Linked DNA regions of Macaca mulatta. The protein of the gene in region 1 interacts with the protein of each later gene in a pairwise test. Links are inferred from orthologs where the notes say so. Each region holds a gene or a part of one and is shown on either strand. Other genes may lie near its edges.

What was found.
Region 2: the proteins of TP53RK (region 1) and TPRKB interact in binary tests that used the Homo sapiens proteins (3 or more experiments, as listed by UniProt). The link is inferred for Macaca mulatta from reciprocal best matches to the Homo sapiens genes TP53RK and TPRKB.

Annotation. Positions count from the first base shown.
Region 1 is NC_133415.1:99,488,072-99,498,901, reverse strand, and holds TP53RK (EKC/KEOPS complex subunit TP53RK), read left to right. Parts: upstream 1-4,695; 5' UTR 4,696-4,757; coding exon 4,758-5,040; intron 5,041-7,194; coding exon 7,195-7,673; 3' UTR 7,674-10,024; downstream 10,025-10,830.
Region 2 is NC_133418.1:51,077,633-51,087,115, forward strand, and holds the end of TPRKB (EKC/KEOPS complex subunit TPRKB), read left to right. Parts: intron 1-1,902; coding exon 1,903-2,025; intron 2,026-3,796; coding exon 3,797-3,973; intron 3,974-4,528; coding exon 4,529-4,577; coding exon of another isoform or gene 4,578-4,615; exon of another isoform or gene 4,616-4,682; intron 4,683-5,244; coding exon 5,245-5,342; downstream 5,343-9,483. UniProt on the Homo sapiens protein: Component of the EKC/KEOPS complex that is required for the formation of a threonylcarbamoyl group on adenosine at position 37 (t(6)A37) in tRNAs that read codons beginning with adenine.

The DNA.
Region 1 (10,830 bases):
TATGTGTTTTACCTCGTTACCCATTTAATCGTAACATAAACCCTACAAGGTGAATATTATCTACAATCTTCTTTTACAGATGAGGAAACTAAAGCACAGAGAGGTTAAATAACTTACTCTTCCTCAAACATGTCAAGCACACTTCCTCTTTGGGGCCCCTCCTGTCTGGAAAGATCTTCCCCCAGGAATCCATTCACAGGGCTCAAATGTCACCTTTTCGTGGACACCCTCTCAACCACTTTATTTAAAATTAGGCCGGGCATGGTAGCTCACATATGTAATCCCAGAAGTTTGGGAGGGAGGCTAAGGCAAGAGGATCACTTCAGGCCAGGAGTTCGTAACCAGCCTGCACTACATAGGGAGACCCTGTCTCTACAAAAAATGATAACAATTGGCTGCAAGTGGTGGCACATTCCTGTGGTCCCAGCTACTCAGGAGGCTGAGGTAGGAGGATTGACTGCTTGAGCCCCAGGAGGTTGCACCACTGCACTGCAGCCTGGGCAACAGAGCAAGATCCTGTCTCAGTTAAAATAAAAATAAAAAAATAAAATAAAACTGGATCATTCCCTCCGACCCCACTCTACTACCCATAGGGTAACCATATATTGTATCATCCAAAATTGGATGCTTTTGAGAGTAAAGAGGGGACACTAGGCTGGGTGTGGTGGCTCATGCCTATAATCCCAGCATTTTGGGAGGCCGAGGCAGGCAGATCACCTGAGGTCAGGAGTTCAAGACCAGTCTATCCAACACGGTGAAACCCCATCTCTACTAAAAATACAAACAAATTAGCTGGGCATGGTGGCATACACCTGTAGTCCCAGCTACTCAGGAGGCTGAGGCCCGAGAATCACTTGAACCCGGGAGGTTGAGGTTGCAGTGAGCCAAGATCATGCTACTGCACTCCAGCCTGGAAAACAGAGTGAGATTCCATCTCAAAAAAAAAAAGGCAGGGGCACTAATGATAGTTATTCCAGGGTAACAGGTAAAAACTAGGGCTGTCCCTGGCAAGCCCAGATGCAGGTCATCTTTCCCATCCCCCTTCCCCGCTTGATTTATCTCCTGCTAGCCCCTGTCAACGACACATTTTCCTTATGTGTTTATTGTCAGTTTCTACCCACTAGAAAATAAACTCCATGGAGGCACTAATAATGATTCTCTATTTTCTTTACAGCTCTGTCCTCAGGGCCTAGCACAGTGCCTGGCCTATAGTAGTTACTCAATAAATATTTACTAAATGAATTAGTGAATAAATGAATGAATGGGCATCTGGTGCTGATGGGTGGGAAGTGAGGAAGAGGCCATAGATTCTCTTTCAGGCTCAGAAAGGGCTAAAAAGTAGAAGCCTCCCTCCCCTTTACTGCTTGGCTGTTCTACCCAGAGCTCAGCTGCATATTTGGCAGCCAGAGGTCAAGGCCTCAAAGGGCCATGCTTGGTGCAGTCACCCCAGGCTCACAGCACCTCTCTTCCAGCAAGAAAAATCCTCTGGGACCAGGCCACTGTCCTTGTTCTTTCAGCTCCCTGCCTGTCCCCAGTGCCAACTTGCTCCAGCCATGTGGAGCTGCTGGTTCTTGTCCAACCCAACTGTACCCTGTGTCTGTTCTCGCTGCCTGGAACCTGAGCACCCTCCCACTCCACCCTCTGACTGAGCTTTCCAGCACCTGAAAAACTCAGTGAAGATGAAGATATGAGAAAATGAGACATGAGTTTGACTGAAGCATAAATAGGCACAAAACTTTGGGAGGGTAGTTTGGCTGAGGTGTTGAGTTTCAAAGTGCTTGTCACCTACAACCCAGTGATATCACTTGGATAAGCCTGCTCCTGCAGCACTGTTTATGAGACAAAAAAAAAAAAAGAAACAAAACTGGAGGAGTAACGTTGTTAAAATGTCCTACAGATTCCATGTAATTCCTATCAACATTCCAATGACATTTCTTGTAGAAGTAAAAAATTCTAGAATTTATATAGAATCAGAATAGACTCCATATAGTCAAAGCCATCTTGAGCAAAAAGAACAAAGCTGGAGGCATCACATTACCTGACTTCAAAATATACTACAAAATTATAGGAATCAAAACAGCATGCCACCAGCATAAAAACAGGCACATAGACCAATGGAACAGAATACAGAGCCCAGAAATAAATCCACACACTTATAGTCAATTGATTTTCATCAAAAATGCCAAGAACACATAATGGAGAAAGGACAGTCTTTTCTATAAATGGTGTTGGGACAACTGGATATTCATGTGAAAGAAATTAGACCCTTATCTTATATCATATGCAAAAATCAACTCAAAATGGATTAGACTTTAGTCTAATGTAACAGCCAAAACCATAAAACTCTTATAAGAAAACAGGGACAAAATGCCATGGCATTGGTCTGAGCAATGATTTTTTGTGTATGACCCTCAAAACACAGGCAGCAAAAGTGAAAATAGACAAATGGAATTGCATCAAACTAAAATGCTTCTGACCAGTCAAGAAAAAAGAAAAAAGAGTGAAAAGACAAACTACTGAAAGGGAGAAAATGTTTGCAAACCATACATCTGATAAGGGGTTAATATCCAAATATATAAGGAATCCAATCCAATAGTAAGAAAGGACAAAACCTGAATTAAAAGTGGGCAAAAGATCAAAAGAAATATTTCCCAAAAGAAGACATAAAAATGGACGACGGGTATATTTTAAAAATGCTCAACATCACTAATCATCAGAGAAATGCAAATTAAACCCACAATGAGATATCACCTCTGACCTGTTAGAATGGCTATGATAAAACATAAGAAAGATAAAAAGTGTTGGCAAGGACGTGGAGAAAAGGGAACCCTTGCACCCTGTTAATAGGAATGTAAATTAGTACAGACATTATGGAAAACAGTATGGAGGTTCTTCAAAAAATTAAAAATAGAACTACCTTATGATCCAGCAACCCTACTACTGGGTACATATCCAAAGGAAACAAAATCAGTATATTGAAGAGATGTCTGCACTCCCATGTTAATTGCAGCATCATTCGCAATTCTCAGTCTAAGTGTCCATCAATAAATGAATGGATACAAATATGGTACATTTATATACATAATGGAATACTACTACTCAGCCTTTAAAAAGAATGGAATGCTGTCATTTACAGCAATATGGATGGAACTGGAGGACATTGTGTTAAATGAAATAAGCCAGGCACAGAAAGACAAATATCCCATGATCTCATTTGTATGAGGAAGGTAAGAAAAGTTGAACTCATGCAAGCAGAGTAGAATGGTGGTTACCAGGCGCTGGGGCAGGAGGAGGGAGATTGGGAGGATTTTGAGATGTTAGTCAAACGACACAAAATTTCAGTTAGGAGGAAACATTCATGAAATCTATTGCACAACATGGTGACTATAGATATAACAATGTGTTGTATTCTTGAAAAATGTGCTAAGATAATAGATTTTAAGTGTCCTCATCCCCAAAATGATGAGTATGTTAGGTAACATTAACTAGCTGGATTTAGCCACTCCACAATGTACACATATTTCAAAACATGTTGCTCATGATAAATACGTACAATTTTTAATTTCCCTTATGTACCTCTTCATCTGGCTGTTCATTTTTTATCTTTTATACTATCTTTTATAATAAACTGGCAATAGTAAGTAAAGTGTTTTTCTGAAAAACAACAAACTGGAAACAACTGCTTAGCAACAAGAAACTGCCTGACCAAGTAGAAGGATGTGGTAGTTCTGTATGTACTGATATGGAATATAGTCCGAGATAAATTGTTTAGGAAAATGAAATGCAAGTTGCAAAAGAACCCACAGTATGATGTCATTTATGTTGGAAAAAAGGCCACAATGATGTGTGAGTGTGCGCACTGAATAAAAGAAAGTTCTGGAAAGAAACTAACGGCCAGCGGTGTCACAAGGAGGATGGGCAGTTTATTTATATGTGTGTGTGCGCGCAAAGTTCCGTATTGTAAGAATTTGCTACAGCCTGTGTTATTAGCTTTGTAATGAAACAGGTAGAAACTGAAAAAGTTTAATTCCTCCCAATTCAGTTTAGGTTCTGTCTCCGGAAAACTTTCCTGGATTCCCCAGCCCCCACTCCCCGCCCCATCCCACCACCCCCACTGCCCTCTCTGAGTCTCAATTTTCTTTTCTGTAAGGATTTTCATCATTTAATCTTATTTCTTCTGAATGCACTAAATGGTAGTTATCCTAGCACTTAAGAGGATGTCGGAAACACGGTTCATTGTCTGACCCTTCCGACACTGACTAGTATGAGTACATTCTGGGGGGAATTTAGGAGTCAGGGGAAGAGGTGTTCCAAAAAGACACTACTAGAGGGTGCACCTGTCCAGGAGGAGACTCCTTAAGTGAGCAAAGAGCGTCCGACGTTTTTCTCGAGAGGAGCCGAAGTTTTCCGGAAAGAGACGACCAACTGGGAGGTGATCTCCCAAAACCGGTTGCGGGAATCACCGAAGATTTCCGGAGAGCCAAGGAGTAGGGAAGAGCCACTTACCGAGAGTTGCCGAACGTGTACGGAGATAGCCGAAGAGGTGAAAGGCGGGGCCACAGGAACCCTTCCTGCAGGGAACCCAAGGCTTCAGAGAGCCGAAAGGTTGGGAGGCGTAACCACTCACAGGCCGGAAGTGTCCGGGGCGGAAGCGTTCGGGTAACCGAAGAAGTACCAGGATTTCCGAAGCGAGCCGAAGCATCGCGACAGTTTTCAGAGAGAGCGGGTCGGTCGGAGCTGTACCGCCGAGCACAGTCATGGCGGCGGCCAGACCTGCTGCCCCGGACGATGGCGAGGAGCCCGCGCCAGAGGCTGAGGCTCTGGCCGCGGCCCGGGAGCGAAGCAGCCGCTTCTTGAGAGGCCTGGAGCTGGTGAAGCAGGGCGCCGAGGCGCGCGTGTTCCGCGGCCGCTTCCAGGGCCGCGCGGCTGTGATAAAGCACCGCTTCCCCAAGGGCTACCGGCACCCGGCGCTGGAGGCGCGGCTTGGCCGGCGGCGGACGGTGCAGGAAGCGCGGGCTCTCCTCCGCTGCCGCCGCGCGGGTAAGGAGGGCCCGGATCCTGGCGTGGGCGGCCCCGAGGCTCTGGGGCCTGGGCGGGTGAGGGACTCTCCTGCGCTCCGAGCCTCGGTTTGCCTCAGTTTCTCCTTCTGTGCCTTCTGCCGTGGCCAGCCTTTCGGAAATGTTATTCTTTCATCCCTTTCTTCATTCGTTAAGTCTTAAGAAACCACGTGGCCTTGCAGCGTCAAGCGTTTGTCCTGGGGCCGTTCTGCCAGGTTCAAATCTGGACGCTGTCATTATTGGTCAACGTCGAACATCTTTAACTTCCCTGAGCCTTGATTTCCCCATTTGACTCGTTTCAATTTTCGATCATTATCTTTTCATTTATTAGTTTTAAGAAACATGTAATTACAAGTACTTGCCCCACTGGAGCCAGGCTGTCTGGGTTGAAATACTAACTCTGCTGCTTATGTAGCCTTTCAACAAGTTATTTAGCCTCTCACCTTCGGTTTTTTCACCTGTAAAATGGGAGACATAGTAGCAATATCCATGTCATAGGGATGTTGTGACCATTAGAGGAGGTCTGTGTGCAGTGTATTATGTTCGAATGTGTGCCTGGCACATAGTGCTCAGTAAGTGTTGGATTTCATTAAATTGCCTATTTATTGTGCGCCAGCGCCATAAACCTTGTCCTCAGTTGAGAAAGTGACACTCAGAGAGAAGTAACTTGCCCAAGGTTACACGGCTACTAAGTGGCCGGTCCAGGCCCTCAGCTCCGTATGCCTCTGACTCAGAAGTACTGGCTTTTTAATTTTACGCTTCGTGCCTTTCTTTTATTAGTATTTTTTAGGTACTTGTGGGTGCCAGGACATTGTTAAGTGCTGGGAGATCTAGCAAGGGGGGACATTCAGTAGCCAACAAGCAGACACATTGCTGCCCTTTCAGAGACTGAAGATTTCACGAACTTATTTGTGTGTTCATATTTCTGTTTTCAGCCTCTTATGATATGTTTCGTTAAGCAGAGATTGTATTATAGCTGGCTTGTTTATTGCTGTATCCCCATTGATACATCTCTCAGTTTCTAGAAAAGTATACTGAGCCTGGTTGACTTTCAGTAAAAATTCATTTGAGTTTATTGTAGCAGAAACTGAGACTTAGAGAAGTTAATGTAATTTTTTTTTTTTTTTTTGAGACGGAGTCTCGCTCTGTCCCCCAGGCTGTAGTGCAGTGGCCAATCTCGGCTCACTGCAAGCTCCACCTCCAGGGTTCACGCCATTCTCCTGCCTCAGCCTCCAGAATAGCTGGAACTATAGGCGCCTGCCACCACGCCTGGCTAATATTTTGTATTTTTGGTAGAGACGGGGTTTCACCATGTTAGCCAGCATGGTCTCGATCTCCTGACCTCGTGATCCACCTGCCTTGGCCGAGAAGTTAATGTAATTTTAAGATTAGATTAGACAACTAATAAGAAAAGGAGCTGGGATTTGAACCCTGTCCTCTCTGACTGTGAAGATGAACCTCGAAGCCAGCACACTGCTTGGCCTCCTGTTTGTGTCCTCATCAGTAGAAACTGCTCTGACTGGGCTGTGCCTTGCTGTTTGTTTTTGTATTTTGAGACAGTGTCTCACTTTGTCACCCAGGCTGGAGTGCTGCAGTGGCGCAATCTCGGCTTACTGCAACCTCTACCCCCTGAGTTTGAGCTATTCTCCTGCCTCAGCCTCCCGAGTAGCTGGGACTACGGGTGCATACCACCACGCTCTGCTAATTTTTGTATTTTTAGTAGAGATGGGGTTTCACCCTGTTGGCCAGGCTGGTCTCGAACTTCTGACCTCTAGTGATCCGCCTGCCTCGGCCTCCCAAAGTGCTGGGATTACAGGCATGAGCCACCACACCCGGCCTTTGTTTTGTTTGTTTTTTAGAGAGTGAGTGTGACAAATGAAGTTCAGTGAGAAAGGGTGGTTTGGAAGGGAGGAGGAAGCTATGGCCTCCTCAGTTTAGCTGTGGGGTGGTCCCAGGTATAGTCCTGCAGGGGGCAGGAGCAGGGGAATATTCCATTCAGTTGTACCATTCCCTGTAGCATTCCTAAATCATCCTGAAATAAGTAGATATAGATGGAAAAACTGGCTTAATCTTTGAAAATTAAGTTTATCCATTAAAAAAAAATCCAACCCAATAACCACTTATGTCTTGATTTCAGGAATATCTGCCCCAGTTGTCTTTTTTGTGGACTATGCTTCCAACTGCTTATATATGGAAGAAATTGAAGGCTCAGTGACTGTTCGAGATTATATTCAGTCTACTATGGAGACTGAAAAAACTCCCCAAAGTCTCTCCAACTTAGCCAAGACAATTGGGCAGGTTTTGGCTCGAATGCACGATGAAGACCTCATTCATGGTGATCTCACCACCTCCAACATGCTCCTGAAACCCCCCCTGGAACAGCTGAACATTGTCCTCATAGACTTTGGGCTGAGCTTCATTTCGGCACTTCCAGAGGATAAGGGAGTAGACCTCTATGTCCTGGAGAAGGCCTTCCTCAGTACCCATCCCAACACTGAAACTGTATTTGAAGCCTTTTTGAAGAGCTACTCCACCTCCTCCAAAAAGGCCAGGCCAGTGCTAAAAAAATTAGATGAAGTGCGCCTGAGAGGAAGAAAGAGGACCATGGTTGGGTAGGAAAATGTGTATGACAGCCACACACAGTGAAGCTCTTTTTTCAAAGTAAATTTGAAGAAATACTAAAAGTATGAGATGAGATCTAAGTAAAGGTGTTAAGATATTTTTAAGTGGTGTGTGATCGTGCCTGTGGTGTCATTATCATCTGCACTTCACTCTACTCAAGAGCTTACTATGTGTCTGAGTCATGTTCTAGGCAGAACTGGGTATTTAAATCTAGGACAGGCTTCTCCCAGATTGTGACATGTATGTCTCAGTTATATGGGTGTGGCATTGAACTACATAATGAGAATGTTACTCTCTTTTTAGTCCTTGTGAGACAAGGATGAAGTCTCAGTGATACTCACTGAGCTTACTGGCCCTCTAACCCAGTGTTTTTTTTGTTGTGTACATGATATATTTATTTTGAAACCAGTTTAATGGGATACAACCAGCATTTTTAAAAATGAAATAGAATTGCAGCATAGAAAATATCAATATTGTTTTATGAAACTTTCACATGTATATGTAGACAAGGATATGTACTGAGTTTTGATGTCAAATATATTTCTCTTTCAGGGTCATGATCAAAAAATGAAAAATCTGCTTAACTCCAATTTCTCTTTTAAAAAAGCAGACTTACAGCTTTCAGGCAACTGAAATTCATGTTAACATTGTTTTTATTTTTATTGTTTTGTATTTTTGTGGTTACCTTCTAAGACAAGTGATTGATATAAAGTTCCTTTTAAGTTTATACAGGTAAGCAAACTGAGTTGATTTCTGTCACAGGCAATGAGTAGGTAGAGCAAAAATGATGAAGTGACTTGTGAAGACTGAAGTTTGATGAAGTCTGGTTTAAGGTACAGATAAGCTGAGTGTGGATGCAAAGGTACCAGGAGCTAGCTTTTAACCTTGCCCAGCCTCAATTTCTTTTCTTAGAAGAAGCTGTGTGTGGGTGGGAAGGGAACGGATGTATAATAAAATACCTTTCTTCCTTGTAAACTCCAATCAACAAACATATTTTGAGTACCTTTTATGTTCCTTGGCACCCTGTTGGGTGTTGGGTACAATGGTGAGCCAGACAGACATAGCGCCTGTTCTTTTGTAAGAAAATTTATTTTTATAAAAAATTATTAAGTAGTGTGATGTTTTGATACACATTATGAAATGATGACTACAGCCGAGCTAATTAACACCCATCACCTCACATAGTTACTTTCTTGTTTCTTAATATAGACATTTACAGCTATGAATTTCTCTCTGCACACTTTTCATCACACACTCTCAGTTTTGGTATTTTGTGTTTTTGTTTTCATTAATCTCGAAGTATTTTCTAATTTCCCTTGTGATTTCTTTTTTGACCACTTGATTGTTTAGAAATCTGTTAATTTCCACACATTTGTGAATGTTCCAGTTTTTCTTTTGTTACTCATTCCTAGCTTCATTCCGTTGTGTTGAGAGATGATACAGTCAGTGCCTGTTCTTATGAAGCAAACATTCTGTAATAGTAGGACCAGTACCCTGTTTGTTTCGTTCATCACAGTCAGCACTCCCCCAGTGTCCAGCATGGGGTGGATGGCCAGGAATGGTGAAAACTCCCTTCCTGGGTAGTTGTGACTCGTAGAGAGGAAAAACAGTATCATTGCCTGTTTACTGCATGTCAGGCATTGGGCTGGGAATTTTTATATTGGATCTAAAATAACTCTTAAGTTAAGCGTTGTCCCCATTTTATAGATGGAGAAACTGGCACCAAAAGGTGGGAACTTGTCCTAGACGTCACAGGTAGCCAAAGGTACTTTTACTTGGCTCCAAATCTGTTCTTTCCACTGACAAAAGAGATATGGGATATGGTGCGTCTTCACAGTACTATAAGAAGTATTGGCATATAACATTATTTTCAAGGAACTCCAAGGACCACAGGAGCTGACAAGTTTTTCAATTAATATTCCCAACATGAATGAGATGCCTCATTCCTCAGTTTCCTCACATGTACTATAAGGCTAGTACCTACTTTGTGGGGTATGGTTGGCTTATGTGCATTAAATCAACAAAGCCCTAGTTGATATGGTTTGACTGTGTCCCCACCCAAATCTTATCTTGAATTGTTCCTGTAACCCCCACGTGACACGGGAGAGACCTAGTGGGAGGTAATTTAATCCTGGGGGCGGCTACCTCCATGCAGTTCTTGTGATAGTGAGTGAGTTCTCATGAGATCTGATGGTTTTATAAGGGGCTTTTCCCTCTTTTTGGCACTTCCTGCTGCCATGTGAAGAATGATGTGTTTGTTTCCCCATCCGCCATGATTGTAAGTTTCCCGAGGCATCCCCAGCCATGCTCAACTGTGAGTAATTAAACTTCTCCTTTATAAATTACCCGGTCTCGGGTATGTCTTTATTAGCAGCGTGAGTAATACACTAGTACTCACTATGTGCCAGGCACTAGAGATCTAATAGAGGGGAACATGAAGTTTACTTTCCTGGGGAACGTAAAATAAGGCAGTTTCAGACAGTGATGAGTGAAGAGGTGAAGGAAAACCAGAAACACGGGAGATGAAGGGAGTATATCCCAGGCAGGCTGTGGCGTGCGAAGTTGGTGAGGAAGGAACATCCCCGACAGCAAGGCCAGTGTGGCTGGCATCAGTGAGCAAGGAGGAGGAGCAGAACATGCGATGGGAGAGGCAGGGCCAGATCCTGCAGGGCCCTGTTACAAGGTTGGGTTTTGTTCTTAATGGGACTCAGGATTTTTAACAGGGTGACACCTGATTGTTTTGAAAGAGTTGCATTGGTTGCTGGCAGAAAACCATAGACGGCAAGAGTGGAAGCAAGAAACCTGGAAGTGAGAAGGCGACCAAAACCAGCTGGGCCAGTGAAAACAGTAGCCAGGGTGGAAGCCGTGGCGAGCATGCTCCAACTGCTTGGCACAGGACCTGGCAGCCACCGAGGCAGGGAACGCAGTGGAGAAGCAGCCTTGTCTGGGGGAACACCCGAGGTTCGTTGTCTCATGGTCATGGAGATCAAGGACATGGACCCACAAAGAGTGAGTTGAAGAGCAGAAATTTAATAGTTGAAAGAAATTAAACTATTACAAGAGGGGTCCTGGAAAAATGGGTTGCTGGATCTGCGGTGATCCAGCAGATCTGCAGGGGGTTTTATAGATGAGCTGGTGAGGAGGTACTGTC
Region 2 (9,483 bases), on another chromosome or scaffold:
ATTGCGCCATTGCACTCCAGCCTGGGCGACAAGAGTGAAACTGTCTCAAAAAAAAAAAAAAAAAAAAAAAAAAAGCCAGGCGTGGTGGCTCACGCCTGTAATCCCAGCACTTTGGGAGGCCGAGGTGGGCAGATCACGAGGTCAGGAGTTTGAGACCAGTCTGGCCAATATGGTGAAACCCTGTCTCTACTAAAAATACAAAAATTAGCTGAACGTGGTGGTGGGCACCTGTACTCGGGAGGCTGAGGCAGGATAATCGCTTGAGCCTGGGAGGCAGAGGTTGCAGTGAGCCGAGATCACGCCACTGCACTCCAGCCTGGGCAACAGAGCAAGACTGTGTCTCAAAACAAAACAAAACAAACAAACAAAAAAACAATGAATGAACCATACAGGCCATTTAAGTATACGTTAATATTTGTGATGTTATAGGGTAGCCTAAAATTCTGTCACTGTTAGGGAAAAAATTCTTGTCCAAGTCAGATGCAGCCAACCTGGACTATAACAGTGAATAGAGGCAGAAGTGCCAGGTCCTGCCCTAGGAAGGAGGAAAGGTTGTGGTCTGGGTCTAACATGGGAAATGCCTGGATCTCCAGCTTCTTATCTTTAAAATGGGGGTTCTTAACAAGACAGTCTGTAGAGGAGGCATAGCGTAGTGGTTAAGAGCACACACAGAGGCCAAGGGGTGTGGATTGCTTGAGGCCAGGAGTTTGAGACCAGTGTGGCCTACATAGTGAAACCCTGTCTCTACTAAAAATACAAAAAGTAGCTGGGCATGGTGGTGTGTGCTGGTAGTCCCAGCTACTCGGGAGGCTGAGGCACAAGAATCACTTGAACCTGGGAGGCGGAGGTTGCAGTGAGCTGAGATTGAGCCACTGCATTCCAGCCTGGGCGATGGAGCGAGACTCTGTCTCAAAAAAAAAAAAAAAAAAAAAAAAAAAAAAAAAAAAAAAAAAGCACAGGCAGTGGGATCATGTTACTGGGAATTAATCCCAGACCTACTACTTAGGACTTTGAACAAGACATAGCCAACCTTTATATAGTGCTTACTGTATTCCTAGTATTGTTCCAAGTGCTTTACGTATACTAACTCGCTTAATCTTCACAACAGCCTATGTAGTAAATACTGTTTCATGTGTCTCTAACAAATAAAATGCTAAGGAACTTGCCTAAGTTCCCTAGGTGATAGGTGGCAGAGATGGGATTCAAACTCAGACATTCTTTGCCTCAATTTCCTCATCAATTACATACTACTACTACTATTAATAGTATTAGTTTCATAGGGTAGTTTTGAGGATTAAAGAAAATAACACAAGTAAAATGTTTGGAATATGATCATGCCCATAATATTAGCCCTCAATTAATGTTATTTTAAAAAATTTTACTATTTGCATAAGTCCTTGCAGCTTTAAAATTCTATGATTTTCTGACTACCCAGGCCCTTGGGATAATAGTTTTTGTTTTTGTTTTTGTTTTTGTTTTGAGACAGAGTTTCACTCTTGTTGCCCAGGCTGGAGTGCAATGGTGCAATCTCGGCTCACTGCAGCCTCCACCTCCTGGGTTCAAGCAATTCTCCTGTCTCAGCCTCCCGAGTAGCTGGGATTACAGGTGCGTGATACCACACCTAATTTTTGTATTTTTAGTAGAGATACAGTTTCGCCGTGTTGGCCAGGCTGGTCTTGAACTCCTGACCTCAGGTGACCCGCCCGCCTTGGCCTCCCAAAGTGCTGGGATTACAGGCATGAGCCACCACGCCTAGCTGGGATAATAGTTTTGAAAATACAGACCATAAGAATTGTGATGAAGTAAACCAGCTTGACAGTGGAGTTAACCATGAGTTACCATGTGTTTTCAAGCACTGCAGATTCTCTATGTGTAATTAATTCTTTCTGCTCTCTTTGGTAGATTGTCGATCCATTTCAGATACTTGTGGCAGCAAACAAAGCAGTTCACCTCTACAAACTGGGAAAAATGAAGACAAGAACTCTATCTACTGAAATTATTTTCAACCTTTCCCCAAATAACAATGTAATGTAGACTTTCCTATTTCTGTTGACCTTGTCATAATAACATATGTGTTCCTCAGGGTTGGAGGCTAAATTCCTGCAAGCCAGTGGTTAGTAATAAACCAAAATAGTAGTGAAGAGAGCTCTGGACAGAGAGTTGAGGTTTACCCTGCCTCTTACTAAGACAGTTTACATATGAGTAAACACAAATTTAGCTAAATTAAGTGAGGTTAATTTTATCTGTTCTTACCATATAGGATCAGGAAGACCTCTCAAGTATTTTTTGCTTAAGAAACTGACAGAAATCTAAATGATAAAACATTAGGCATGGATATTTTGTGTGCTAGCGTGCATATCTTTCCCTCTTCCCGTAAACTCCTTGAGGGTGGGATCCATGTCTTTTTCATATACCAGGAACTTGCTGGTACCTATAACAGTCCTTAACACATCCTCACTCACACACCCAGTATGTAGGAAGAGTCTGTGGTTTGAAATACTTATAGTAACGCTTTTTCCTTTTTTTTTTTTTTTTTTTTTTTGAGACGGAGTCTTGCTCTGTCGCCCAGGCTGGAGTACAGTGGCACAACCTCGGCTCACTGCAAGCTCCGCTTTCCAGGTTCATGCCATTCTCCCACCTCAGCCTCCGGAGTAGCTGGAACTACAGGCGCCCGCCACCACGCCCGGCTAATTTCTTTTTTTTGTATTTTTAGTAGAGACGGGGTTTCACCGTGTTAGCCAGGATGGTCTCCATCTCCTGACATCGTGATCCGCCCGTCTCGGCCTCCCAAAGTGCTGGGATTACAGGCTTGAGCCACCGCGCCCGGCCAGTAATGCTTTTTCAATGAAAGTTATCAAGCCAAAGACATCACACATGTAGCACATGAAAAAAATGACTGCAATTTTGCTGATGAATTTTTAGTATTACTGCTGCTATTAATAACAACCAGGTACTAATTTCATCTAGAGAAAAGTTACGAAACCTGTGGCATAGGTTAAAATACAGATGATTGTAAAGTTTATAAAATGCAGTTATCTCAGCATGGTAATAGAGTTTCCCAGTACTTGGAATAAAATTTACTAATTATTGTTTCCTTGAGATCATTAGACATAATTCAGAAAACTCTTGAATTCAGTAAACGTCTGTTGAAATTTTCCCTGTTCCATTTGCAGTTCTAGGGGCAGAAGAGGCAAATATGTTCCCGAGGAGAGGCAGATAAACAAGTTAAAATGCCCTGAGATAAATGATATAATGGAAAAATGAATTCAAATCTAGGGGTACAGCAATGAAGCCATTCATTTTGGAGGGAGGAGGGTGTGGTGGGGAGTGGCATCAGAAATGTGGACCTTGAAGCATGTGTTCAGCAGCCAAGCCATGGGGAGAAGGGACATGCGAGCAGAGGACAAAGCTTGAGCACAGGCAGAAGGGCATGAAATGTGACTGGACCCCCAGGCAGGCCAGACTGGCCAGGTGGCAGAAGCGCCTGGCTGGAGAGCCACTTGGCACCAGAGGGAGGAGGTGTTTTTTTGTGCAGCACCAAGAGGCTGGGCTTGATTCCATAGGAACAAGGCATAACTTGAAGCAGGGAGTACTTTCGAGGAAGTGCCAATGGATGTTGGAAAGGAATCATCAAAGTGAAAAACTAAGCAGTGAGAACTTTTAGGACATGAAAAATAAGAGCCTGACCAAGGAAGAAGGCAGATCAGGAAATGTTTCAGACATAGGAAACAATGGTTAATTATCTTGTTTTGTTTATGTTTTTGTTTTTGTTTTTTTTTCATTTTTTTTCTCTTAGATTTCAGAGGCTTTGAAAAAATTTGGTATCTCAGCAAATGACACTTCAATTCTAATTGTTTACATTGAAGAGGGAGAAAAACAAATAAATCAAGAATACCTAATATCTCAAGTGGAAGGTCATCAGGTTTCTCTGAAAAGTCTTCCTGAGATAACAAATATTACGGAAGTCCAAAAGGTTTGTTTGCCAGTCCATATTTTTAGAAAGAGTGTGACAGATGAGCAATAATGCTGATACTGTTTGCTTATTGATCACCAGGGCTCCTTGTTTTTTGAACTTTTGAGAAAGTTAATCTAATTTTTTAAATTACTAAAAAATAATTTTAGATACAAAGAACTGGGAGGTGTGGGTTTATGTAAAATATAATTACAAACTCAGCTGATACAACCATTCTCCACATTAAGAAAGAGAATACCTTTCAATATCAAACTTACATAGTATATTTAAAATGTAAAATAAATTTAGTATGAAGTTAATATCTAGATATGTGCTTTTAAATGGATAGAAATTTGGTTTTTATGTTCTTGAGAGTTACCCCCATAGCAGCAATTTAAAGGGAATACAAGTAATGAATTGCCATCTACTTGGAATATTTTAATCACATTTGTTGTTTGTTATACTATGAACCCAATAATTGAATGAGGAATAATTTCACTTACACATGTTTGTATAATGACAATTAGTAGTGAATGATGATATCAGCAAGTCATAATTTGTCTTTCATTTTTACAGATATATAAACTCTCTTCACAAGAAGAAAGTATTGGGACATTATTGGATGGTATCATTTGTAGAATGTCAACAAAAGATGTTTTGTGAAATATCAGAAATATTAACAAAACTCAGCATTAAAGAAAACATTGATTTTTCTTCCCTGATTATAAAACTAATATATGTGCATTATCGAAAAGTTTAAATCACAGAATGGTATAAAAAAGAAAAAAAAAAAGGCCAGGCACGGTGGCTCATGCCTGAAATCCTAGCAATTTGGGAGGTTGAGGCAGGCGGATCCCCTGAGGTCAGGAGTTCAAGACCAGCCTGGCCAACTTGGTGAAAACCCATCTGTACTAAAATTTAAAAATTAGCCAGGCATGGTGGCAGGTGCCTGTAATCCCAGCTATTCGGGAGGCTGAGAGAGGAGAATCACTTGAACCCGGGAGGCAGAGGTTGCAGTGAGCTGAGATCGCTCCATTGCACTCCAGCCTGGGCAGCTGAGCGAGACTCCGTCTCAAAAAAAAAAAAAAAAAAAAAGGAAACCAGTTGTAGTCCTACCTTATAGTATTTTAAAAGACAACCAGTTACTATTTCTTGTTATTGCTTTTTAGAGTTCTGTTTCTATTCAAATATATTTTATTTTTATATAATTGGAATAAAAATTGTAAACACTTAGGGAATGCCTACAGTGTACTAGGTTCTTGCCTTAGTGATTATTATTATTTTTTTTTTAGAGATGTCGTCTCACAGTGTTGCCCAGATTTATCTCCAACTCCTGGACTCAAGTGATGCTTCTGCTGTGCCTCCCAAAGCACTGGAATTACAGGCATGAGCCACCGAGCCCAGCTGGTTGTTTTTGTTTTTAAATTTTTTGCCTTGGCGATTTTATATCCATCAGTTCACCTCCCTCTCCATACTTACCATGGCTACTCCAGCTCACCCCTTGCAAGCCTCTGGATCCTGGTTCTAAGTGCCTTTCACTTGTATGAACTCATTTAATTCTTGCAGCAACCTTATGAGGCAGATACTGTTATTACCCCCATTTTACACACAAGGCCCAGGGGCAGCTCCTGTGCAGAGGCCTGGCTGGTGGCTCCAGCTGAGGGTGGTCACTCAGAGGGACACCTTGGCAGAGCTCCCACCCTTCCTGGCAGAGGCCCAAGTGGAAGTGGGGGTGTTCCTCGTGGGAAGAAGAAAGGTTGTGCCAGGGGGACTCTGAGGGTGCACATGGAGCCTGGGCAAGGTGGGGGAAGCCAGGGCCACAGCAGGACTGGTGCCCCTGCTCCCTAAGAACCCCCAACAACCCTAACCTTGCAGTGCCACTGTGAACCTGCCATTGCCCCTTGGCCTCTAGAGGGCAAAGAGCCGTGTGTGGGAGGGGGAGGCAGAACGCAACCCCAAGAAGTCAGCCCCCAGCTGGTGAGGCCAGTCCGTGGCCCCAGCCTGGAGCCTGCCCCAGCACTTTTCTGAGCACCCTCACCTCATCCCCGACCCCATCAGGTTCTTGGGAGGCCTCTGTCTTTCTCCTCCACATTCACATTCACCTTGTCCAACACCTGGCCCCCTGGCAGGATCCTCATCTCCCAGTCTCCCTTCTTCGGAGGTGCACTGGGCAAGCGGAGCCAGGCCTCTTGGGGTCCCCGGAGTGGAAGGAGGTACAGAATGGGATGGGGAAAGTATAACTGCCACACACACACACCCAGGAATGTCAGCAATGAAAAGAATGAATTCCTCTTTCCAGGAAGTATGGAGTCCCAGGAAGACTCTTAAGTTCTGCTACTGATGGATGTAGAGTGTGAAAGGCCTAGGCATGGGTTCCTTCCCAGCTGCCTGACCCCCAAAGCTCATCCTGTGGTGGTAGGGAAATAGAATTACAAACAATCTATCCCAGCAAGCCTATCTCTGCAGAGATAGAAGAGGAAGAAAACACTTTCATCATTGAAGAGGCGTGAACTCAGAGTGAGATGCGCATCACAGGCAATGACCCGCTAAGATGCTGCAAAGACAGAAAGAAATCTCATTGCCAGTCTAGCCAGCGGGTCCAACCCATTGCTCACTGCACACCTTCTCAAGAAGAGTAATGCCTAGTCCTCAGATCAGTGGACTGCACAGCACCTTTGGCCACACCCGTTTCATCGGAGATTCAACCTCAATTTACCTGACCACCTGCGTTTGCTAATTACCTTGTTACAAAGGAAAATAAACTCTTGCCTTCATGACAGGAGGTAGATTTACCACTCACAGCAGATGTTAGGCCCCCACCGTCCCACAGAGACTGGCCGATAGGGCCCTGGCTGCTCTGATGATGATGTTTCAAAGACGGACTCTCAGGTCCTTCAGGAACACAGTCCTGGGTTGCAAAGCTGGCAAGAGGCTTATTTAGTTGTCAGAAAGCTTTGCATGCCCCCAAAGGGGCAGAGGAAGATTTACAGTAAGTTTTCCAAAGAAAATGCTCTAAGGGAGAGTGGACACTGCTTCCCTTTTTTTTTTTTTTTTTTTTTTTTGAGACGGAGTCTCGCTCTGTCCCCCAGGCTGGAGTGCAGTGGCCGGATCTCAGCTCACTGCAAGCTCCGCCTCCCGGGTTTACGCCATTCTCCCGCCTCAGCCTCCCGAGTAGCTGGGACTACAAGCGCCCGCCACCTCGCCCGGCTAGTTTTTTGTATTTTTTAGTAGAGACGGGGTTTCACCGTGTTAGCCAGGGTGGTCTCGATCTCCTGACCCCGAGATCTGCCCGTCTCGGCCTCCCAAAGTGCTAGGATTACAGGCTTGAGCCACCGCGCCCGGCTGCTTCCCTTTTTTTTAACAGGGAGAATTAAGCCTCTTCATTGTCTTTACTCTTTTTTTTTTTTTTTTTTTTTTTTTCAGTTGCCCTAACAGTTTCCGAGAGCGGTGTTCCGTGATTCCTCAGTCTCAACACCAGTTCCTCTGAGACTAGCACAGGGTCTTTGGTGTGAAAATTTCTGTTTTTCCTTACTGCTTAAAATAAAATAAAACAGCCACTCAGCTTGCTTAGTATTTTGCATAAATCTGCAGTTCCCTTCAAGAAAAATGTAGCTCTGAGGAAGTAAGGTGAGATGTGGTTAAGGCAGCTCCCCAGGCTGGGCTGCTGGTTGGCCCCCGCCCCTCATATAGGCTTCCCTGGTCACCTCTCACTGTCACAAAGTAAGACCTGAATATGAAGCTTTCACCTGCAGCCCAAATCCACGCGGGTTTGCGCTTCGGGCATTGTCTGCAGCAAGTGCTCAGCTCCAGGCCAGCTTCCAGAAGCTCCAGGACTCATCCCTTTATTCAGGAATTGAAAATGAACTGGAACTGAGGACTTTTAAACTGGAGGACATTTCAGAAATGATCAAATTTAACAGTTCCCAAGCTTTTGGAATCACAGAGACCTTTGAAGATCTGATGTAGAAAGTGAGCCCACAGATTTGCACACCATTGTGAGTTTAAGGAGCCTCTGAGTTGCCCAGGAAGTAGCCCTTCACACTTAGTTGAGGAGGCTGCAGCTGCGCCCTGTCTCCTGAGGCAGAGGTTTGGGCTTTTAGTGGGAGAAATAGCACCCACGTCACAGGAGGCAACAGAAGCTCACTGGCTACACTAAGTCTGATTAAGAAACCTCTGGTGAGCGTTTTTGAGAGGCTGCACTTTAGAGGCTTTGCTTCAGGTTTTCTGTGTGGCTGATCAGTTCTGTGTTCAAGGCTGGCTGCCAGGAGTGGACTTGAATTGCTGGGCCTACACATCAGTGCTGCAGAGAGGCAGACGAACTGCAACAATAGTCTCTTCCCTCTGTCCCACTGAGGACAGTCTCAGTGACAGGAGCCTCTGTCCCTGACCCCAAACCGTCCTGTCCTCCACTGTGTGGGCTTCTGAAAAGAACAGAAAGGGCCAAGGCCGAACCTGCACGTGCACCTAGGGAAAGGAATCTCAGCAGAAGCCGGGTGGCCCACAGCTCCCTTATCCCATGAGCCATGGGGTTTAGGGTTCAGGAAAATCCAGCCAACTCCCCTGCACTGTGCTGTGAGGCTGCCCTAAGGCCTGCAATCCTGAGACCCCAACCAATGGAACAGGCTCCCTCTTAGTCAAGGGGACCCCAGGGAAAACTGAAAAAATGAATTCCTGGCCATGATGGAAGTGGAGGTGAGAGAAGCCTCATGAGAGCCCTGCACCTTTGGAGTATAAAATAGGCATCGTGAGATTATTCAGAATGGATTCTGACAATCAGGTACAGATTATGAACAAGACCTGAGGCCATGCAAAGCAAGAATTAACACACACCCTAGAAACCACAGAGTCTCCTTCAGTGGGTTTTAAATTGACCCAGGATGCTGTGGTTGACTTTCCTTCCTGGCTCTGGGACAGCATCACATGGCAGAGGCAGACGGTCTCTCTGAACTGAAGCATTCCTTTGTACCAACTTCATGTCTTTAGACAAAGCTGAACTCTCAACCAAATGCCAATCGGAAAATCTTTGAATCCACCTATGACCTATAATGCCCTGACTTCAAGATATCCCACCTTGTTAGGCTGAGTCAATGTATACCTTCCATGGATGGATTTATGATGTTACTCCAATTCCTGTCCCCTCAAATGTAGAAAACGACTGCCCTGGCACACGTTTTCAGGACCTCTTGAGATTCCCCAGACTGTGGTCACTCATTGGCTCAGAAGATACCTCTTACAGATCATTTTTTAAGAGTTTGGTGTTTTTGTTAACAAGCCCAACCACAGGCCTTGGCAAACCCTTTGCTCAGCTTGGGAATTCCCAGACCAGCTACAGGCCACCGTCTTCCCCTCCCAACCAGCACACTCTTCGTCTCCATCCACCATCAGCTCCACCTGTGCTCACCTGGATGGGCCTCTGCCGGCTGCCGATCCGCACCCATTTCCCACCCCCTCCTGACTGCAGGGCGCCCCTCTGTGGGCAGTGCTCATTGTTACTCAGCCCCTCAGTCCTTAAGCTCCCTGGGGTTCTCCAT